Linked DNA regions of Sus scrofa. The protein of the gene in region 1 purifies or fractionates together with the protein of each later gene. This does not show direct contact. Links are inferred from orthologs where the notes say so. Each region holds a gene or a part of one and is shown in the gene's direction. Other genes may lie near its edges. The genes, in order: NDEL1 and DYNC1I1.

Region 1 (4,397 bases):
GTGACCTACACCACAGCTCACGGCAACGCCAGATCCTTAACTCACTGAGCAAGGCTGGGGATTGAACCCGCAACCTCATGGTTCCTAGTCGGATTCGTCAACCACTGAGCCACGAAGGGAACTCCGAAAACTCCTTTTTCTAGTTGAGTGACATTGGGCAACTTCATCTCGCTTAGTCTCGGTTTCCTCATTGGTAAAATGGGAATAATAACAGTACCTATCTCATGGGGTTATTGTGAGAATTGAATTATGCAGACAAAGCCTTTGGCACACCTGCCAGTACATACAAAGGGCACAGCAAAAGTAAACTGTTCAACCTGCTCTCCTTCAGAGTCTAACTCAAAGTTCCATACTTTCTAACACCCCAAATCACTTTTCAGATTTTCACTGGACATCTCTTAGAATCCATTTTGTGCTGTTCCCCTTTATGTCCATGCCTTGAGGCTCGTACCAACACATCATTGTGTCCAAAAGCCCCACAAATCCAGTCCCAAGAGCACTGACATAAGAGAATTACAGGGTACGTGAAACGTCCAAAGTTCCTAAAATTGCTTTTAAAACACTTCTCTTTCTCCAAGTTTCCACACACTAATCAGCTGCCCTTCATTTCTCTCCTTTCTGAGCCAGTCTCTCCCCACCTTCTCCCTCCACACCCCCAAGTCTTCTTCTCCAAGTCTCCTAGGGGATGTACATATATATGGATTCCATTAGTTGGGGGCCCTGAAGGGATGAAAACACGTACGCACATATGTACATATACATGGATATATTTATATTCCCTTGGTGCCCTCAATGAATCCATTCACTCATTCAACAAATATCTGAGCACCCACCCTGGGACCAAGCTATCTGCTGGGATAAGCAAGGAATGAGGTTCCGGTTCTCATGGAACTTACATCTTACTGGAGGAAGACAAGAAGTAGCATAAAATTTCAGCTAGTGGACGTGCCCTTAAACCGACATAGCTCCGTGTGAGAGTGTGACGGTGCTAGAATACACCTGGTACGGTATTGGGTGGTCGGGGTGGACTCGGATGTGAGATCTGAGCCGAGATTCTTCTTTCAAACGGGAACCCCGAAACAGACACTTGTAGGGTTTGGTGGATGAAAACTGGGAGGCGGGTTCTCATCTACGGTAGTGCCACTTTCCGGAACGCAGAGTCTTTCCGGGGACCCGCGAAAGTCGTAAACGGCACGCCGCGCGGGCCCGGGGCGCCTGCGCAGAAGGCCTCCGCCAGCCTGACGTCAGCGCGCCGGCCCGGCCCGGCCCCGTGTGACGCCATCCCTGCCACAGCCCCGCCCTAGCCGCCCGCGCGCTCGTGCGCATGCTCGGGCCCCGCCCCCGTGCGTCACAGAATGGCCTCGGACACCCAGGCAGCCTCTGACGTGTCGGGGAGGAGCCGGGCGCGGAGGTGCGCGGAGTGGAGCTCAGGACTGCGGCGGGGAGCGGAGCCGAGCGGCTGGGCGGGCCTGGCCAGGCCAGCGGAGCGGAGACGTCGGTCGAGCGGTGGCGAACATGCGCTTTTGACACATTGGAGGTGAGCCTGCCGTGCGGGGCCGCTCCCGAGGGCGCCGGACCCGGCCGACGGCGCCGAGGCCTGTCCCCGCGGAGCCTGCCAGCCCCGGGGGCTGTGTCCGAGCCCCCGCCGGGCTGGGCCGGGCCCGGGTTCTGGGGCGGCCAGTCCGGGGCCAACTGTTTCAACCGCTCTAACTGCCCCCTCCCCGCCCTGGTCCGAGGTGTGGCCCACCTGGGGCGCCTGGAAGGGAGCGAGCCGGGCGGCCTCCGGAGGATGTGCCCGCATCCGGGGGTGGGGTGAGGGATGGCGGGGACGGAGGCCGGGACGTGGCACCGTGGGCCGGGAAGCTGGTCGCGCAAGGGGTGGCTCCGCTGGAGGTGGCAGCGGCGCGCCCAGCCCTCCCCCTCCCCAGCCCCCATCCCGCATCCCTTCATCTGGAGGGTGGTTCGGAGCCAGGTTGGATTCTGAATTCTCGTTGCTTCTCTCCCACGGGGGGCGAGAGCGGAAGCTGCCCACCTTGAGCTCCGGTGGCATTCCTGTGATTGCCAGCTCCGAACTGCTAATTACCCCTCTCGGAGTTCAGGAAAGTGTCACCAAACGGGTTCGGGTTGCTTGTACTCGCCTTTGTTTTTTAGCTGGTAAGCAACGAAGTGACCCTTTTAAGGTTTGCCTGGGAATTGAGGGTGCTTCACGGATAATTTCATTACGTTTCTCTAGGCGCCTTTACACGTTTGAGAACACCCTTGTTATCTCGGCTTTGAACCTCATCACCTCGTTAGTGGTTGTCTGTGATTCTACCCATAGAGAAATTGAGACCAGGTCGGGTGGGGGTTTTGGTGATTTATTCTGTGGATTCCACCAACCAGTGAGAGGCTTCTCTTGGTTCAGAATTTGCGTCTCCCTGCCTGGAGTTGTGGTTTCTTTCCGTGAGATTTTTACATCCTTCTCAGCTGGAGAGCAAAATAGTAAATTTGACTTGCCAGAACTATACCAGAAGCTAGTAGAAGATTTATTCAAATTTTTTTCAGCAGACCCACCTAGGATGAGGATTGCTGCTCAGTTTTAAGAAAAATCCTACGCTGAAACTTGTCCACGGTTGGCTAATTATTTTGTCTGATAAGTTGTGTTGCTTTTAATTTGTTTATGAAAGAGGGTAATGGCTTTGCTAAGTCATGAAGTTGGGGGGGTAAAATGCAGCATTAAGTCGTGTTGAAGAGAATAAAAGGGAACTAAAATATTTCCTCTGAATTTTTATTAAGTTGTTTAAAATCAGATGTCATAAGGAACAAAATCCCCCCTTTGGCCAGCCCTGGTTTCACATTGACCTGATTCAGATAGAAGTTGCTAAATCTTATGAAGCTTTTTTTTTTTTTCCTGTTTTGGCGTAAATTTTTTGTTTTTGGCTGTGGTGTGCAGTGGCTTGATGTGGGATCTCAGTTCCCAGACCAGGGATTGACCCCAGGCCACAGGTGAAAGCCCCAAATCTAACTACGCTACTGCTCTGGAATTCCCTGTTTAGGTTTTTTTAATTAAATAAATTGAAATTGGGTGAGGAATGCTTAAAATAAGTAGAAACCTCAGTAAAAACTTAGATGTTGCTTTCATGATCTCTCCAACACTTATTTTTATTTTCATGTTAAGTCATGCTGGGGTAAATTTGGTTACTAAAGCTTAAAATTACTTCTGACATAAGTTTTTGCTCTTTATAAGGTAGAAAAATAAGTCAGGACCAAGAGGGAGACCATATTTATGCTCAACTTTGAAAAGTTTGAAATTCTGTAATTGTTACTTTTGGGAGAAGTAGAAGAATTTCGTAAAAAGGTATTTATTATCTACGGTGAATTCCAGAAGAACTTTTCCAGCCTCAGGAGTCCATTCTGCAACGATCAACAAAGAGACAGTTCATATAAAATGAATTTTCTTACCATTGCACAAAGAATAGTTTCTTTGTAAATACAGCATTTTGAAAGGCTGTTTTATGCCGTAATGAGTTGATTTGTCAGCTGCCAGACAGCTGAAGGTCATATACCGTATGCTAATGACCCAGGTAAGAGTTGTTTCGGGGTCACGCCCCATCCATGAGACGCCCCATCCATGAGACGTGGCGTTGAGGGAAGATTGGGTATCGGCAAAGAGTATATGATCATCTACCCTCATTTCAGCTTCAAGATTATAGATGTGTCATTAAAGCTAATTTATTTATTTATTTGTTTTTAGCAGTGTAGTTTTCTGTGTTGGCCAACTCTCTATAGCCTGATATCTCCAGTTACAAAGTTTCAGATAACACAGTGAACACATCCTCCTGCTGTAACTTGAAGCAAAATGAACAGATTGTCTTTATTGCCCCTGAGAACATCTTTTGAATATCTGCAGTGGCAGCACATTTTTGTTATCTGTAAAAAAAAAAAAAAAAAATCTGATTTTTGGAAAGAATAAATCTGATGAATAAAATTAGCGTGATTAGAGTGATAAAGCTGGATGATATTAGGAAGCAGTTGAAGCGAGGTGGGACCACAAAGAAAGAGCTTTTTGTTTAGTTTTTAATCTAGTTCATTAAGGCTATTTCTAAAGAGATTGTAGAAATGTTTTCAGTAATGGTGGTATCACTGAAATATGCACATAGCTTCCAGAAGTGATTAATTTTAAGGAGTCATTTGTTATAAATTCTGAAGCGCATTTATTTTGTGGTTGTACTTCAGAGGTCAGCAACTGAACCACAGTTTTTTAAAATAATAAAATTTATGCTGTGTTTACTGTGTGCTAGACTCTGTACTAAGTACGTGCAAATACTAACTCAGTCTTCAAAACACCCCTGTTTTTAATAATTTTCCCCATTTTGTAGGCGAGGAAATGGGTCACTGAGTGATTAGCTAACTCGCCC
Region 2 (4,316 bases), on another chromosome or scaffold:
CTCATATGTTCCTTTTTTTTTTTTTTCTATTGAGGTATAGTTGACATACAAACTTGGGTCTCTTTGCCATGGCATAATAAAGCCAATCTACTGACAGGGGGTTGTGGTGAGGGAAAGCTCAGCCATCTGTTGTAAGGCACCATCCTAGTCGTCTAGCGCTCAATCAACACTCTGGAACAGCTGGAACTCTCCAGTGGGTTTCAGCAAAGTGTTTTTAAAGGCAAGGTGAGGGAGAGGAGCCCCAGGATGCACGATCAGGTCATGCATAATTCTCTGATGGGTTAATGTTGAGGTAACGGCCTTGTCACAGGGTTAAGATAATCAGTCCTTAAACTCCAGAAGGCCTAAGGGCTATATGCTCATAGTCATCAAGTAGTTAATGTCTTCCACTTGGGAGTTTTAGCATCTGTAAAACAACTCAGGAAAAATGCATTAGGTACTGTTATCTAGGTACTTCAGAGAAGAGCTAAAGGAGAGGATATGGAGGAGGGGTGTATCCCTGGAAGCCTCATAGGGTTCTGCTTATACAATGCCATATACTATAGAGGTACAGTATAGTGGTTTTCACCATTTTTAAAGGTATACTCCATTTACACTTATTATAAAAATTGACTATATTCCCTATGTTGTACACCATATCCTTGTAGCTTATTTTATACATACTAGTTCCTACCTCTTTATCCCCTACTCCTTGCCCCCCCCACCACTAATTTGTTCTGTGAATCTCTTTCTTTTTTGTTATATTCACTAGTTGGTTTTGTTTTTTCCACCTACTACTGATATTATACAGTATTTGGTTTTTTTCGACTTGTTTCACTTATATGGAGAATATTAGGTTGCCCAACTTTTAAAAGCTGGGACTTTAAGAAGCAATGTGGTAGAGTCAAGCTAAATATATATTTTTTTTCTTCTGGGAAAACCTAAGGATAAATCTATAAGTCTTTGTGTGCAGCAGATGGATCTGAGCTTTTCTGACTTCTATTTAAATAACCTAAGTAGTTGTCAGGGAGTGAAAGTTGTTCCATGCTAGCCTGTCAGCAGGAGCTCCCAAAATACCAAAGCTCTTCCGTTAGCAGCCAATTAGGTGAGTCCTACCCGTGGCATAGGGATAGATGGAGAGACTCCCCAGGTCCCTTGCTCTCATCCGCTTCTGGACCAGCGCCACTCGCTCCCAGCTGAGACCGGGTGCGGAGGGCCCTCCCGCAGGAGGAGCGCGGGGCGTGGAGGGCGTGGGCAAGGGGCGGGGCGAGTCCCAGACTGGGTGCTCCCAGGGAGCTGTCAGTGGCAGGCTGGGGAAAGGAAGTGCTAGGTCCCGGAGGAGCTCGAGCTGAGCGGCCGGCGCAGCGTGAGACAGCACATCCTGCGCGGCCGGGCCCGCCGCCCTCGGGAAACGCTCGGGCGCCCGCGCCGCCGCCGCTCTCGCGAACCCAGTTCCGCCGCGGCAGCCGGCGTGCAGGTAAACGGAAGGGGGGCGGCGGGGGAGGGGGTCAGTGCGCTCCGGACCGCCGCCTACGCGCCCCTCCGCAGCCCTCCCCTCCCCGGGGTCTTGGGCTCTGGAGCCGCGGGGCAGCGGTAGTGCTGCTGCCGCCGCAGCCGACCTTGTCCCCTCCGAATCTTGGGCTCCTGCGTGCTCCGCGGCGCCCGAAAGCAGCCAGAGCTCCCCAGCGGCCGCCCCCTGCTGCAGCTCCTCTGGCAGAGCCGCGAGGCGAGGGCAGAGGAGAGAGTCGTGGTGTCATCACCTTGTCGCCCACCTTGCGGACTGGCAGAGGCGTCCCAGTGCGCCCCGCCTCGGGTTTCGCTTGGGGAGCAGAAGGCTCGCGGCAGTGAAATCCGCACCCCTCTGGGCCAACAGCTGACGGCCCCTGGGGGAGGGGGAAGCTGCAGTGGGAGGGGAGTGGATGCTGTTGGAGTATGTTTTCAGCTGTCTGCAAAGCTCAAAGATGCTGTTGCTACCCGCCAAGTGGAGGGAAGCGAATGCACTTCCAGCAAGGCATTAATTAAACGCTCAACGCCAGAAGGTGCCAGTTTTTCTTAACTGCTGCAAAAAAAAAAAAAAAAAAAAAAAAAAAGTGTGGCTGGGGGATGTGTTTTAGTAAACACCTTCGGGGCCCCTTGGCTCTCCTTCCCCCACTCCCACTCCCACTCCCGCATCGCCCTGGCCTTATAAGTCTGTGCGTCGTCATCGTAGGGGCAGTGATTCTGGTGGCGCTGATGGGAACTGAGTGTGCGGGAGTCTCATGACTTGTAATGAGAACAGAAACCCAGGATCAGGACAGGAAATTACTTAGGAAATCAGAGACTCAACCAAATGCAAGAGACGGAAAATTATTCGTTATCCTAGCCACTCCCACGTTTAGGTTAAGGGGCAGATCAAGTAGCCAGCCATTTTCTTGCCCGAAATGCCTTTTAAGTGGGCACTGTAGATTTACTGTAGTTCAGGGTGTGCAGAATTGCTTCCAAATATTCCAGATTAGCAGAGAGCACAAGTATCAGTGAGGCATGGTAACTGCAGAAAGACATCATAGGCTAATATTAGCACAGTTAGGGGTGACTGCCTCTGTACACATTTTCATTGTGGGAATCAGTAAATTTGAAGTTTGCTTTCAGTTCAAGTTGCATCCTGAGGGTATCTAGTGGGGGTGTGATTAATAATTTCTCTGATTATATAAAATGCCAGATTTTCTCCCAAAGTTTTGGCATGGCAAAAAAGGACCCAAACTCTGCTCTTCTATGTTTCTTGATAAAATAAAATCATATACCCCTACCACTAAGTCATCGAAGAACCAGGGAGTCACAGGAACCAACCCCTCAATCTTAAGGTTTGAGGATGCAATGCCCAGAGCCATTTCTTTTAAAAATCTCCTACCATAGTTATTGATATGTTTAGATAATACAGTTGGGGGCCCGATGCATGTTTTTTTCAGCCTTTTCAGCTCTGGGACCAGGTTTTAGCCCCAAATATCTTCCACATCCCTCTTTTTCTTCCCTATCATGACGGGCCTCAGGCGCCTATGCTCCTGCTTCCTCTCCCCTCAGAGGTCAGGGTTGCTGAGCCTCTGCTGTGCCAAGCCCTGGGTGTGCTTCAGCCCTTCCCCACACCCAGCTTTTCCTCCTCGCCTACCAAAAACATGTCCTGAAGCATTTTTGGTATTAAAGATGTACACCATTAGGTAGGTATCACTAAGGATATGGGCAGAGAAAATAAGTCAACCCACAGGAAAATGGGTCAGAGTGCCTGCAGTGGCGGTCCCTGTTCCCTAGTTGCTAATGAACTGAGAAGGCAAGAGAAAGTTACCAGGTGTTTCTCTCATCATGTTTCATGTCTAAGAGGGAGCTCTATGAACTTTCTTCCCACCCCTTCTACTCCCCCAAACACTGTTTCCAGCGTCAACATTTAATAAATGAGTGTTTCCTTGACTCCAGTGCTGAGTCAAGTAATTCTTGGAGACCCAGCCTGGTTGCTGCCCTGTTCATACTCAGAAGGGCCATGTAGGACAGTCTTATAAGATGTATGCCAAGTTTTTAAACCTAGTGACATCTCTTAGCACAGAAGGTGTACACAGGCTTCATCAACATTTATTTATCTCAATGAGCCACTCATCCTCTCTGATTACCTTATTTCTTTCTGTCACCTTAGAGCATCAGATGAAAAGGTCACAAACATCCACTGCAAACTTAATTGTACTCTCTCATCACCTTGTTTTCCCTATACTTTGCCTCATCAAGTAAAACAAAAGTTGATAGTAATATACTGAGCACTTCAGCAGTGCTCAATATATCTACTAAATATATTGCACTGCCCTTGCTAAATGTTACATTTACTAAAATATATTGAGCACTTGACCAGGCATTGCATTTTAAACTACTTCTTATGTATTAATTTATTTAATCTCACAAAAATCTGATGAATTAGAGGTTATTTGTAATCCAGTTTGACAGGCGAGGAAATTAAGACACTTAGAATATCAACTTCCTGAAAAATTTTAAGCTGATAAGCTGTAAAGCCAGGATTTGAATCCAGGCAGTTTGACTCTACTCTTCTTTCTTTTATGGTGATCTTTATTTATTTATTTGCTTATTTATTGCTTTTGAACTATAGTTGAATTACAATATTGTGTTAATTTTACCAAAGTGATTCAGTTATATATATATAGAGAGAGAGTATAGTTCCCTGTGCTATACAGTAGGTCTTTGTTATCTATCCTTTATATAGTAGTGTGTATATGTTAATCCCAACCTCCTAATTTATCCTTCCTCCCCATCTTTCCCCTTGGGTGACCATAAGTTTGTTTTCTATGTCTGCTGGTCTGTTTCTG

The links.
Region 2: the proteins of NDEL1 (region 1) and DYNC1I1 purify together in Homo sapiens (affinity purification with western blotting; 3 studies listed by BioGRID and IntAct, with this or other methods). This does not show direct contact. The link is inferred for Sus scrofa from reciprocal best matches to the Homo sapiens genes NDEL1 and DYNC1I1.

The regions. Positions count from the first base shown.
Region 1 is NC_010454.4:53,600,448-53,604,844, forward strand, and holds the start of NDEL1 (nuclear distribution protein nudE-like 1), read left to right. Parts: upstream 1-1,356; 5' UTR 1,357-1,537; intron 1,538-4,397. UniProt on the Homo sapiens protein: Required for organization of the cellular microtubule array and microtubule anchoring at the centrosome. May regulate microtubule organization at least in part by targeting the microtubule severing protein KATNA1 to the centrosome.
Region 2 is NC_010451.4:75,413,501-75,417,816, forward strand, and holds the start of DYNC1I1 (cytoplasmic dynein 1 intermediate chain 1), read left to right. Parts: upstream 1-1,280; 5' UTR 1,281-1,456; intron 1,457-4,316. UniProt on the Homo sapiens protein: Acts as one of several non-catalytic accessory components of the cytoplasmic dynein 1 complex that are thought to be involved in linking dynein to cargos and to adapter proteins that regulate dynein function.